Arabidopsis thaliana: one gene and its partner. The protein of the gene in region 1 interacts with the protein of each later gene in a biochemical or structural test. Each region holds a gene or a part of one and is shown in the gene's direction. Other genes may lie near its edges.

Region 1 (4,795 bases):
ACGGAGCCAGAGGAGGATAGTGATGGTGATGATGATGAGATCATTCAGCTTACTCCAGAACCTCTTTGTGAAGAACTTCAAGAGCTTCTCAGGGAAGTACGTGGACAGAAGAGGAGGAAGAAAGAGATGAGGTGGGACAAGTAAAGGAGCTATGGAGCTCCTGTAAGTAGCAAATTGATATATATGTTAGGAAGCCAAATAGTAGTAGTAAGCTATAGTATTGTGGTGAAAAAAGGTAAAACGACCCATCTTAACATCTCTTGAGATATTGGTTTTTAATAATTTGTGATGGAGTAGAGAAAGCAGATAGTCTTTATCAGTAGTTGTATGAGTCATACAATAGTACCCGAACCCACTTATCCAAAGATCAATGTCGAAAGTGGAAACCAAATCCCTCTAAAGTAAATTGAATAGCCAGTCTAAAAGTTAGACCAAATCTGAAAGTCGGTTTAATTGCAATTATACCTTCTAAATGCAAGAACCAATATCAACCGGTACTTCATATTCTTTTGATTTTTGATTTGTACATATAAACTTTTTTTTGTACATATAAACTTAAATGCAAGTATAGCTTGACTTGTATTTTACACATCAGCGGAAAAGTTTGAGAGAGGAAGCATATTGTATTTCGTTTGGTTACAACTTTTGCTAACTTTTACAATAAATGGAATGAAATTTTTTTCCACTTAATTCCTCCTGAATAGAAAGAAATTGATGCAATTTTGTTCCCTTTTTAAATCCATGAGCCAATAAGTGCATCTCCAATTATATTCCAAATTTCACTCTAAATACTAATTTAGAAAAAATCCTTTTAATACCACTATATTCTCAACTCTAAAAGGGAGTGATGAATATGGTATGATATCATCTGTCACTTCATTTTGGAGTTACCCTTTACTTTTTATTTACAAAATATTTTCCTAAATTTATACTCATGTTCTTCATTTATGTGTAAACAAAATTATATAAATGAAGAAAAAGAGTTATTGTTAACCTTCTCCATGTTTTCATTATAAATTGATATGAGCATTGGTTACCGTTCTTTCGGATAAAAACGAAGTTTATCTCTTGAAAACATTGTTCCTTTCATATTCATATCGCATCAATATATAATTGAAAAGTTCATTTATGGTGATCGATCAAATATATAACAAAATAAAATGAAAAAATACTTTAACATTTTATATATAATTTTTGAAGACAAAAGAGCTGTTTTTTTGTCTTTAATTGATTGGTCAACTGTTTACATATTCATTTTTTTGGTATGAACTATTTACAAATTCATGAATACAAAAAATATCTCAAATTTTTTTTTACAAGTCGATCCACTTAGTTCTTACCGTTTTTTTGGTATAACCATTATTTTATAAAACATCGTTCCCGCTAGATTTTTATCGCATCAAACATAGCGTACTACAAACGGAAACGGTCATCTATGGCGATCGATCAAATATACAACACCAAAATCGAATCCAAAAAATAGTTTACTTGAAGTATTTATATGTTTTGCTTCACTGCTAATTCTATGGTTTTGAAATCCTTTATTCTTCTCAAAAAAAAAAAAAGTTTGTCAATGGTTGTTGACATGGTCTTGCATAATATGTGGATAAATATTTGTTTTAATCATTTTCATCATCATTGCATATTCCCAAGTGTTATCAATTGTTTGACAAATAAAGAAAAATTAAAATTGATACCTTTTTATTTTAGTTAATTAATAACGAAACTGAAAATATTTCTCCCTTTGCATGCAATGTGGGTTTTAAAGACGGAAGCTGAAGAGTGAAGAAGAACAAAAGATTTTTGAGAGAGAAAAGTAGAGTCACTCCAAAATTGTTCTCTCGCAATCTTCTTTCTCGGTTTCCTCTTTTAAGAAAAAGTCCGCCATTTTCACTCTCACTCAGATTTCTTCCCTCTTCTCACCTGCAAAAACCCTTGTTTCCCGCTGTTTCGTTTCTTCTCCGGTTGAGGAACCAAAACGGGTCAAATACGCAGCTGAATCATCGAATTCTTAGGTATTTTCGTCTTACCCAACTCTTATCTTTAGATGTTTTTCCGGGAAAAGAGCTCGATCATGACTCCGCCGTGTTTTTTTTTGGGGGGGGGGGGGTTTCTCCGAAATGGGTTTCAAATGTAGGTTACTCTAGGTTTGAAAGTTCGGATTTTTTGGTTCACTGTGTGTTACTACAGCTTCGATTTTGTGTAAACGAGTATAAAAATTGTATCTTTTACAGATTTGAGAACTTGTTCTTCAAAGACTTGATTTTTCTTTGTATCAAGTTAGTGAGCTCAAATGTCTTTGTTTCTCTGTTTGTTTACATCTGATAAGAGCTAACTCGGTCTCGCTGGTGTGTGATTTTCGCTCGTTAGGGTTTTTTCATGGAGGAAGAATCTACATCAGAGATTCTTGACGGAGAGATTGTTGGAATCACATTTGCTCTTGCTAGTCACCATGAAATAGTAAGTTATAAGAGTTATACTCTCTGGAATTGATCCATCTTGTTCTGCATCAATGTTTATCATGGGTTTTACATAACTGAAGGATTTCGAATAGCTAAAACCTCTATGTTTTGGTTATCTTTGGCACTAAATTCACTATAATTGTACTCAAGCTCTGTGTGATGCTAAGTGCTACACTTTTGCATATAAATGTTGTTCTGCGATATATCCTCTGTCACTATTCCATTTCTCACTGGACTGTAATTCTTTCTTGCAGTGTATTCAATCGATTAGTGAATCCGCAATTAATCATCCCAGTCAACTCACTAACGCATTCTTGGGGTTACCTCTTGAATTTGGTAAATGTGAATCTTGCGGTGCGACAGAACCAGATAAATGTGAAGGTAATCCAGTTCCGTAGTTGCTATATTTTTGTTCTTACATCATTTGTTGGAATACTTCTTCAGATATCGGTATTTGTTTCTACATTTTCAGGTCATTTTGGTTATATTCAGCTTCCAGTGCCAATATACCATCCTGCTCATGTTAATGAGTTGAAACAAATGCTGAGCCTTCTGTGCTTGAAATGTCTGAAGATAAAGAAGGCAAAGGTATTACCTCATTGAGTTTTCTTAAATTCCATGTGATCCACACATAAATAAACCATATAAAATCTCGACTAATCTTTTTCACCTTTCTGAGTACAGGGCACAAGTGGTGGTCTGGCGGATCGCTTGTTGGGTGTCTGTTGTGAGGTGAGTAATGGCATATACATTCTGATTGTTTCCTTTTAAGTTTTACCTGAAAGCAAGTTGATAGATGTTTCTTATGTGAACCTGGTTCAGCATTTAGTTAGTTTTTCTAAGTTTTCCTTCAACTAGTTGCATGTTAGAAAACTTGCTAATTCAAATCTAAATAGTATTTGTGCTTCTTTTGATCCATTCAGTGAAAGTAACATTAATCAATGCTTGTGAAGCAGTAGCTATTGGTATTTTCGTGGCATCATGAAACATTCACTGCTTTATGTTATTTTGGATGTTATTATTGCTGAACGTCTTGGATTTTTAACTACTATATTACTTTATTAGGAAGCTTCGCAAATCTCAATCAAAGATAGAGCATCAGATGGTGCCTCATATCTAGAACTGAAGCTCCCATCTAGGTCAAGACTGCAGCCTGGTTGCTGGAATTTCCTGGAAAGATATGGTTATCGCTATGGAAGCGATTACACGCGTCCCCTGCTGGCAAGAGAGGTTTTTACTTTCTTCTGTGTGTTTATGTTTCTGTTTATGTAGGATTTTATGGTGACGTTCTTTTTGTTCATTTGGAATCATTCTCTATCTTTAAGATCTTTTCTTTCTGGAAACTGATGATTATGTACTTTCCGTGTCCTTTTCCATATGGTGGGAAAACAAATAGGTTAAGGAAATTCTAAGACGGATCCCCGAAGAATCAAGAAAGAAACTCACGGCAAAGGGACATATTCCTCAAGAAGGATACATACTAGAGTATCTTCCTGTCCCGCCTAACTGTTTGTCAGTGCCAGAGGCTTCTGATGGTTTCAGCACCATGTCAGTGGTAAGTTGAAACTAAATTACTATGTTGAGTTGAATGCTTTGGCTTGTGTTGTAACCCCTGGATTTGTGTCATTCTTATTTTCAGGATCCTTCCAGAATTGAGCTAAAGGACGTTCTGAAGAAAGTCATAGCCATAAAAAGCTCTAGGTCTGGCGAGACAAACTTTGAGTCGCATAAGGCTGAAGCCAGTGAGATGTTTAGAGTGGTGGATACCTATCTCCAGGTGAGGGGTACTGCAAAAGCGGCAAGAAACATTGATATGAGATACGGGGTGTCTAAGATCTCGGATAGTTCATCTTCAAAAGCTTGGACAGAAAAAATGAGAACACTTTTCATCCGTAAGGGTTCAGGTTTCTCTTCCCGTAGCGTCATCACTGGAGATGCTTACCGACATGTGAATGAGGTAGGGATCCCAATAGAAATTGCGCAGAGAATCACATTTGAGGAAAGGGTTAGTGTCCACAATAGAGGTTATCTACAAAAGTTGGTAGACGACAAGTTGTGTTTGAGTTATACTCAAGGTTCTACGACCTATTCTTTAAGGGATGGATCCAAGGGGCACACTGAGCTTAAACCCGGGCAGGTTGTTCATCGCAGGGTCATGGATGGGGATGTTGTGTTTATCAACAGACCCCCGACAACACATAAACATTCTCTTCAAGCGCTTCGGGTGTATGTTCATGAAGACAACACCGTGAAGATTAACCCTCTGATGTGTAGCCCCCTCAGTGCTGATTTTGATGGTGATTGTGTCCATTTGTTCTACCCTCAGTCTCTTA
Region 2 (7,552 bases), 5.2 Mb from region 1:
ACGGGAAAATGCCATAACAGTATAACACATTAAATTATGATGAAATCATTTGCCATAAGACGGTATGAGAATCTACGGTCTCACTAATACCCTAACATGCATAGAATAAAAGAAGGGATAAATGAAAGCAATTAAACTATATATAGTAGATAATTGAAAACTAAACTAACAAAATTAAGAACTAAAATGAGCAAATAAACAAGATAGATAAATTGAACAATCAAGATGTTAGAAATCATGCAATCGATCTACATATTTTCAAGATAATGAACCTCTAACAATTAGGCTAATTCATGATTAGTGTGGTAAAAGCCTCTAACGTAACTTAGCCAAATTCAAAATCAATTTGGTAAACTATCACAATGGTTAAGAAACAATGCACACAAATTCCTTTAAGTTACAAAGCATCCGATCCTAAATATCACTTGCTAGATGGTTAGGCCAGAAATCGTTTTCTTTCAATTTTCTTTGGGTCTGAACGTAGACACAACTCAAACACCTCTCTTGATCTTGTATGCTTTAAAATGTGGTCTCTTCAAGTCGGGTATCTTGTTTGTTTTGGTTCCGAGTGCATCTGTCTTTAGCCACCTAGCTAGCTAGAAGGTAATTGTAGATATCCATTTTCACCAACTAGCTAGTTTTTGTCCTCCAGCTGGCTTGGCTAACTACGTACGTTCCAAATGTCAAACACTTAAAAACTATATGTCAACACTAACTAACTAAATTTATTATATCCTATATCTCAAGTGTACACAATGTATAATATTAATAACATAATTCAAGCACCTCCTGATCTTATATACTTCAAAAATGTGATGTCTCTCTAAGTGGAGTATCATTTTAATTTTGGTTCCAATTGCATCTGTAATTAACCATATATAGCTAACTTGCCGATGTGTGTAATATAACTAAACTATAGAGAATATTTGTAGATACCCTCATTCTCCAGCTGGCTAGCTATGTAAGTTCCAAATGTCACACACTTGACTATTTGTCTTTCTCCACTTATAACCTTAATCACAGATCAAGAATCATCTCCAATTATAGTTTTCTTTATTGAATCCACCTAATCTCTATTCACCAATTTATAATTTTTATAATTGCGGCTTAGATACCTTTTTAGTCAATAATCAAAAATGGATTCCAGTGAGGATCAACCATAAACGAGATCATTGAAGCACATAAACTAATTGACAATAAGTTACATAGTTTAGGAGACATAAAACTGTTTAAATTTTATATTGTGCTTAATAATAATTTATAATTATTGTAACACAGTTGTTAAATCCATAGTTATGTAGCATGTACGTGTCAATTAATGCGCACATTCAATATTAGAACACAGAAGGTTTGTCTACCACCACTACCAATTGAAATTAAAAAATTTAAAATAATCTAGCGGGACACAAAGCGAAGTCAATAACATAAGTCAACCATTTTAACGGTCAAGATTGTAAGAGTAGCTCTACTATGATGGAGCCGTGACGTAGAGGAACATAACTGAAAGCGAAGAATCCTCGATTTATGCTACTGTCACTGAACCATTTTCCTCTCAGGTCGGAGCTAAATTTTGAGAGTAAAATAAAAAAGCAAAAGAGAGAAATTGAAAAAAAAAGAAAGAAAAATAATCCTCTCTTGTTTCGGCTAGGGTTTCGTTTTTGTTTCATCGATAAACTCAAAGGTGATGATTTTAGGGTCTTGTGAGTGTGCTTTTTTGTTTGATTCTACTGTAGGGTTTATGTTCTTTAGCTCATAGGTTTTGTGTATTTCTTAGAAATGTGGCTTCTTTAATCTCTGGGTTTGTGACTTTTTGTGTGGTTTCTGTGTTTTTCATATCAAAAACCTATTTTTTCCGAGTTTTTTTTTACAAATTCTTACTCTCAAGCTTGAATACTTCACATGCAGTGTTCTTTTGTAGATTTTAGAGTTAATGTGTTAAAAAGTTTGGATTTTTCTTGCTTATAGAGCTTCTTCACTTTGATTTTGTGGGTTTTTTTGTTTTAAAGGTGAGATTTTTGATGAGGTTTTTGCTTCAAAGATGTCACCTTTCTGGGTTTGTCTTTTGAATAAAGCTATGAACTGTCACATGGCTGACGCAATTTTGTTACTATGTCATGAAAGCTGACGTTTTTCCGTGTTATACATGTTTGCTTACACTTGCATGCGTCAAAAAAATTGGGGCTTTTTAGTTTTAGTCAAAGATTTTACTTCTCTTTTGGGATTTATGAAGGAAAGTTGCAAACTTTCTCAAATTTTACCATTTTTGCTTTGATGTTTGTTTAGATTGCGACAGAACAAACTCATATATGTTGAAATTTTTGCTTGGTTTTGTATAGGATTGTGTCTTTTGCTTATAAATGTTGAAATCTGAACTTTTTTTTTGTTTGGTTTCTTTGAGCAGGAGATGGATTCAACAAATGGTAACGGAGCTGATCTTGAATCAGCAAATGGGGCAAACGGGAGTGGGGTTACTGAGGCATTACCACCTCCTCCACCAGTTATACCTCCAAATGTGGAACCAGTTCGTGTTAAAACTGAACTTGCTGAGAAGAAGGGGCCAGTTCGAGTTCCTATGGCTCGAAAAGGATTTGGAACAAGGGGCCAAAAGATCCCCTTGTTAACAAATCATTTCAAAGTCGATGTGGCTAATCTTCAGGGTCATTTCTTCCACTACAGTGTAAGTTTTTGAAACTATTTTGTGTTATTTTTGTTGGATGATTGATGTCACTAGAATGGATGCAGTGTGTATGTTTTTTTGCTACTGTTATGTTGACTTATTCTGTTATTTGGTTCTGAATGATGTCAAACTAATGGGATTATTTGTGGGTTTGTACAGGTGGCTCTATTCTATGATGATGGTCGTCCTGTTGAACAAAAGGGTGTTGGAAGAAAAATCCTTGACAAGGTGCATCAGACTTACCATTCTGATCTGGATGGTAAAGAGTTTGCTTATGACGGTGAGAAGACGTTGTTTACATATGGAGCTTTGCCTAGTAACAAGATGGATTTTTCTGTGGTGCTTGAGGAAGTATCTGCTACAAGGTAAAACATCATCTGACTATAGTCATTACATTGGTTGTGTGCTTTAGTTTTTGTTCTTAGTAAGGATTTTGTGAGCAGGGCTAATGGAAACGGAAGCCCCAATGGGAATGAAAGTCCAAGTGATGGTGATAGGAAAAGACTGCGTAGGCCTAACCGGTCCAAAAACTTTAGAGTGGAGATCAGCTATGCGGCCAAAATTCCTCTTCAAGCTCTTGCTAATGCAATGCGGGGACAAGAATCAGAGAATTCCCAGGAGGCAATACGGGTTCTTGATATCATATTGAGGCAACATGCTGCTAGACAGTAAGTGTCAAGTGTATATATGTATTTTGTTAATCTCATATATTTGTCTTTCTAATACCTATGGTACAAATTGCAGAGGTTGCTTGCTTGTTCGACAGTCTTTTTTCCACAATGATCCAACCAACTGTGAACCAGTTGGTGGTAACATCTTAGGATGTAGGGGATTTCACTCCAGTTTCAGAACAACGCAGGGTGGCATGTCACTTAATATGGGTACATAATTTCACTTGTACTTGATGTTGGTGTTTGATTCTGTCTGTTGTAGCAATAATTTAGTGTCTAATAGTTTATGTTTTGTTCTTATGCTAGATGTTACAACCACCATGATCATCAAGCCTGGTCCAGTGGTTGATTTCCTAATTGCTAACCAAAATGCTAGGGACCCTTATTCGATTGACTGGTCTAAGGTTAACTACTTATTATGATATGTGGCTTTTTCATAATCTAAACATGTTCCTTACCTCTTTTGCTTGGCTTGACACATTTTAACATGTTGTTTTCAACAGGCTAAACGAACCCTTAAGAACCTAAGGGTAAAGGTCAGCCCCTCAGGCCAAGAATTCAAGATAACCGGATTGAGTGACAAGCCTTGCAGGGAACAAACGTAAGATATTCACTAATTTGACTTTGTTGTGAGATGCATTTGTTTCTGTTTTAGTTTTCTGACGTTGTGATCTCTTTCAAAGATAAATGGTTCTCTGAAGTTTGCTTTTTACACTGTCTAGGTTTGAATTGAAGAAAAGGAACCCAAATGAAAATGGAGAGTTCGAAACTACTGAAGTTACAGTTGCTGACTACTTCCGCGATACAAGGCATATTGATTTGCAATATTCTGCGGATTTGCCTTGCATCAATGTTGGGAAGCCAAAGCGACCCACTTACATTCCTCTCGAGGTTTGCCTCTTATACTCATCAACGTTCTCATAGTCATGGTATTAATTTGTTTTCAAAAATCATGCTAATGTATGTAATGTGGTGGAATTTTCGCAGCTCTGCGCGTTGGTTCCACTTCAGAGGTACACAAAAGCACTTACCACGTTCCAAAGATCTGCCCTTGTTGAGAAATCCAGACAGAAACCCCAAGAGAGGATGACTGTTCTGTCCAAAGTAAAGTATCCTGACCGCTTCATAACTGTTCTGTTTTGTCAGTGAACTGGAATTTACATATCTTTGGTTTCATGCTTTCAGGCTCTGAAAGTTAGCAACTATGATGCGGAACCACTCCTGCGATCCTGTGGCATTTCGATCAGCTCCAACTTTACTCAGGTGGAGGGTCGTGTTCTACCAGCTCCCAAGGTATGGTGCGATCGCTTACTTTTTGACATGATGAATTGTTTTTAGCTTTTGCATACATGTAATATTCTCTTGTTTTCTTTGACTGACAGCTGAAAATGGGATGTGGATCTGAAACCTTTCCCAGAAATGGTCGCTGGAACTTCAACAACAAGGTGCTGTTTCTCTCTGCCTTTCTTTGTATTTTACCTGTTCAGAGAGTCTGATTCCCTTTGTTGTACAGGAATTTGTTGAGCCCACCAAAATTCAACGATGGGTTGTTGTCAATTTCTCTGCTCGCTGTAATGTACGTCAAGTTGTTGATGATCTGATAAAAATTGGAGGATCAAAAGGAATTGTAAGCAGGATTCTCTTCTTTTGTTTTTAGTATTCTTGAAAACTTGTTTGTGATTATCAACAATTTAGATACTGCTTCTTTCTGTATTCTGTCCCAGGAAATTGCTTCTCCCTTTCAAGTGTTTGAGGAGGGTAATCAATTCCGCCGTGCTCCTCCTATGATTCGTGTTGAGAACATGTTTAAGGACATCCAATCGAAACTCCCTGGTGTCCCACAATTCATACTATGTGTGCTCCCTGACAAAAAGAACAGTGATCTCTATGGTTAGATATCTCTTAAATCCAGTCTTCAATCATCTTTTTGTTTTATATAATAGAAGTTTCCTTGGATAAATACTTTGAATCCTTCATCAGGTCCATGGAAGAAAAAAAACTTAACTGAATTTGGCATTGTTACTCAATGCATGGCTCCAACGCGGCAACCTAATGATCAGTATCTTACTAACTTACTTCTGAAGATTAATGCAAAGGTGATCTCTCTCCTTTTTTCTCTTTTGGAAATGGTTTTTGCTTCTTGTGTGCAATCTCTGATAACATATAACTACAGCTTGGAGGCCTGAACTCAATGTTAAGTGTAGAGCGTACACCTGCGTTCACTGTGATTTCTAAGGTTCCAACCATTATCCTTGGGATGGATGTTTCACATGGATCTCCTGGACAGTCTGATGTCCCGTCCATCGCTGCTGTAAAATGTTTACTCACTGCTGTTGTTTGCTTTTTAGTTTGGCTAGTTCTTCAAGACTGATATTTAGTTGTCTCTTTTGTTATGATTAACTTAGGTGGTGAGTTCTAGGGAGTGGCCACTGATATCCAAATATAGAGCATCTGTTCGGACACAGCCTTCTAAGGCTGAGATGATTGAGTCCCTTGTCAAGAAAAATGGAACTGAAGACGATGGCATTATCAAGTGTGCACTTACACTAACTCTTGATGTGGCTTTTGTTTAATCTTTGCATGAAGTCTGGTTTAAGTATCTATGTAACTTTATTTGTTGATTGCAGGGAGTTGCTGGTAGATTTCTACACCAGCTCGAATAAGAGAAAACCAGAGCATATCATAATTTTCAGGTATGTTACATCAGAGCTTTTGTCTCTTCATTTTTCCCATCTTTATTTTCTCATATTGGTTGTTTCGATGTTTAATGCTTCTAGGGATGGTGTGAGTGAATCTCAATTCAATCAGGTTCTGAATATTGAACTTGATCAGATCATCGAGGTAGTTGAAACTTCAAAATAAAAGTTTCTCAGTGTAATTTTCTTCTTCTGTTAGTACTTAATTGCATTTCTCTTTCCTCAGGCTTGCAAGCTCTTAGACGCAAATTGGAACCCAAAGTTCCTTTTGTTGGTGGCTCAAAAGAATCATCATACCAAGTTCTTCCAGCCAACGTCTCCTGAAAATGTTCCTCCAGGTGATTGACAAATCTATATTATAACCTTTTTTGACACATAGCTGATCTCTATCTCATGGGGGTTTTGGTTATTTTGCAGGGACAATCATTGACAACAAAATATGTCACCCAAAGAACAATGATTTCTACCTCTGTGCTCACGCTGGAATGATTGTAAGTTTCATCTATCAACTCAAAACTTTATTTGTTAATGTTTGCTCCTCTGAATCGTTTTAATACTCTTTATGTTCTGAATTAGGGAACTACCCGCCCAACTCACTACCACGTCCTGTATGATGAGATTGGTTTTTCAGCTGACGAACTTCAGGAACTTGTCCACTCGCTCTCCTATGTGTATGTAGTCTCTTATTCAACCTTCATTACATTTTTTGTGACAACTTCGATTGTGATGATAACAGAAATTATCTGATTTCTTTCTTTGGCAAAATTCCAGGTACCAAAGAAGCACCAGTGCCATTTCTGTTGGTAATTACCATAACTGTTTTCTCTACTCCATCGATTTAAAGTCGTCTTCATTTGTTCTCTTAATAACTGACATTTTAATTTTTTGTGCAGTTGCGCCGATCTGCTATGCTCACTTGGCAGCTGCTCAGCTTGGGACGTTCATGAAGTTTGAAGATCAGTCTGAGACATCATCAAGCCATGGTGGTATCACAGCTCCAGGACCAATCTCTGTTGCACAGCTCCCAAGACTCAAAGACAACGTCGCCAACTCCATGTTCTTCTGTTAAATGAGCAGCCCTACTTGGCTCAGTAAGTAAGTAGTAGTTCAATAGGCTATCTGACTTTCAGCTTAGGATCTCTCTCGGCCTTGAAGCCAGGCATCGACACTAAGGCTTGGAATGTTTTTTGTGACTATTATCGCCAGCCTTGTTTGCCTGTTGGGGTTTGAATATGCTTTTGTCCCCCTTAACAATTCGGTTGTTTAATTAAAGACTTATTGTAGTGAATATCTAAGTTCAGGAAGTTACCCTTTTGTCTAAATCGTTCTTGCATTGGAAACAGACTACATACATAACCTAGACAAAGCAAAGCCTTTTGTGTAGTGCTCATGATTAAAAACTGAAACCAAAACAAATGACAGAACCTAGTCAAAGTTAAGAGTTCACGACTTGTTGTAGTGGATATTTCTGAAGTTTAGGACGTCACAATAGTTCCAAAACAACAAAC

Evidence for each region. The genes of interacting proteins can lie anywhere in the genome.
Region 2: the proteins of NRPD1B (region 1) and AGO4 form a complex in vitro, tested with the Arabidopsis thaliana proteins (2 studies listed by BioGRID).

The regions. Positions count from the first base shown.
Region 1 is NC_003071.7:16,712,710-16,717,504, forward strand, and holds the start of NRPD1B (nuclear RNA polymerase D1B), read left to right. Parts: upstream 1-1,750; 5' UTR 1,751-2,015; intron 2,016-2,370; 5' UTR 2,371-2,379; coding exon 2,380-2,460; intron 2,461-2,716; coding exon 2,717-2,843; intron 2,844-2,934; coding exon 2,935-3,050; intron 3,051-3,146; coding exon 3,147-3,194; intron 3,195-3,527; coding exon 3,528-3,692; intron 3,693-3,858; coding exon 3,859-4,017; intron 4,018-4,101; coding exon 4,102-4,795. Other genes in the region: AT2G40020 (Nucleolar histone methyltransferase-related protein), read left to right, coding at 1-144. UniProt on the Arabidopsis thaliana protein: DNA-dependent RNA polymerase catalyzes the transcription of DNA into RNA using the four ribonucleoside triphosphates as substrates.
Region 2 is NC_003071.7:11,536,356-11,543,907, reverse strand, and holds AGO4 (Argonaute family protein), read left to right. Parts: upstream 1-1,516; 5' UTR 1,517-1,681; exon of another isoform or gene 1,682-1,700; intron 1,701-2,401; 5' UTR 2,402-2,404; coding exon 2,405-2,677; intron 2,678-2,836; coding exon 2,837-3,042; intron 3,043-3,120; coding exon 3,121-3,345; intron 3,346-3,421; coding exon 3,422-3,558; intron 3,559-3,654; coding exon 3,655-3,752; intron 3,753-3,851; coding exon 3,852-3,949; intron 3,950-4,070; coding exon 4,071-4,239; intron 4,240-4,335; coding exon 4,336-4,452; intron 4,453-4,533; coding exon 4,534-4,641; intron 4,642-4,730; coding exon 4,731-4,793; intron 4,794-4,861; coding exon 4,862-4,975; intron 4,976-5,072; coding exon 5,073-5,238; intron 5,239-5,328; coding exon 5,329-5,444; intron 5,445-5,521; coding exon 5,522-5,659; intron 5,660-5,753; coding exon 5,754-5,881; intron 5,882-5,975; coding exon 5,976-6,041; intron 6,042-6,125; coding exon 6,126-6,189; intron 6,190-6,270; coding exon 6,271-6,382; and 10 more. UniProt on the Arabidopsis thaliana protein: Together with RDM3, required for transcriptional gene silencing (TGS) by DNA methylation and repressive histone modifications (H3K9me2) of several chromatin loci.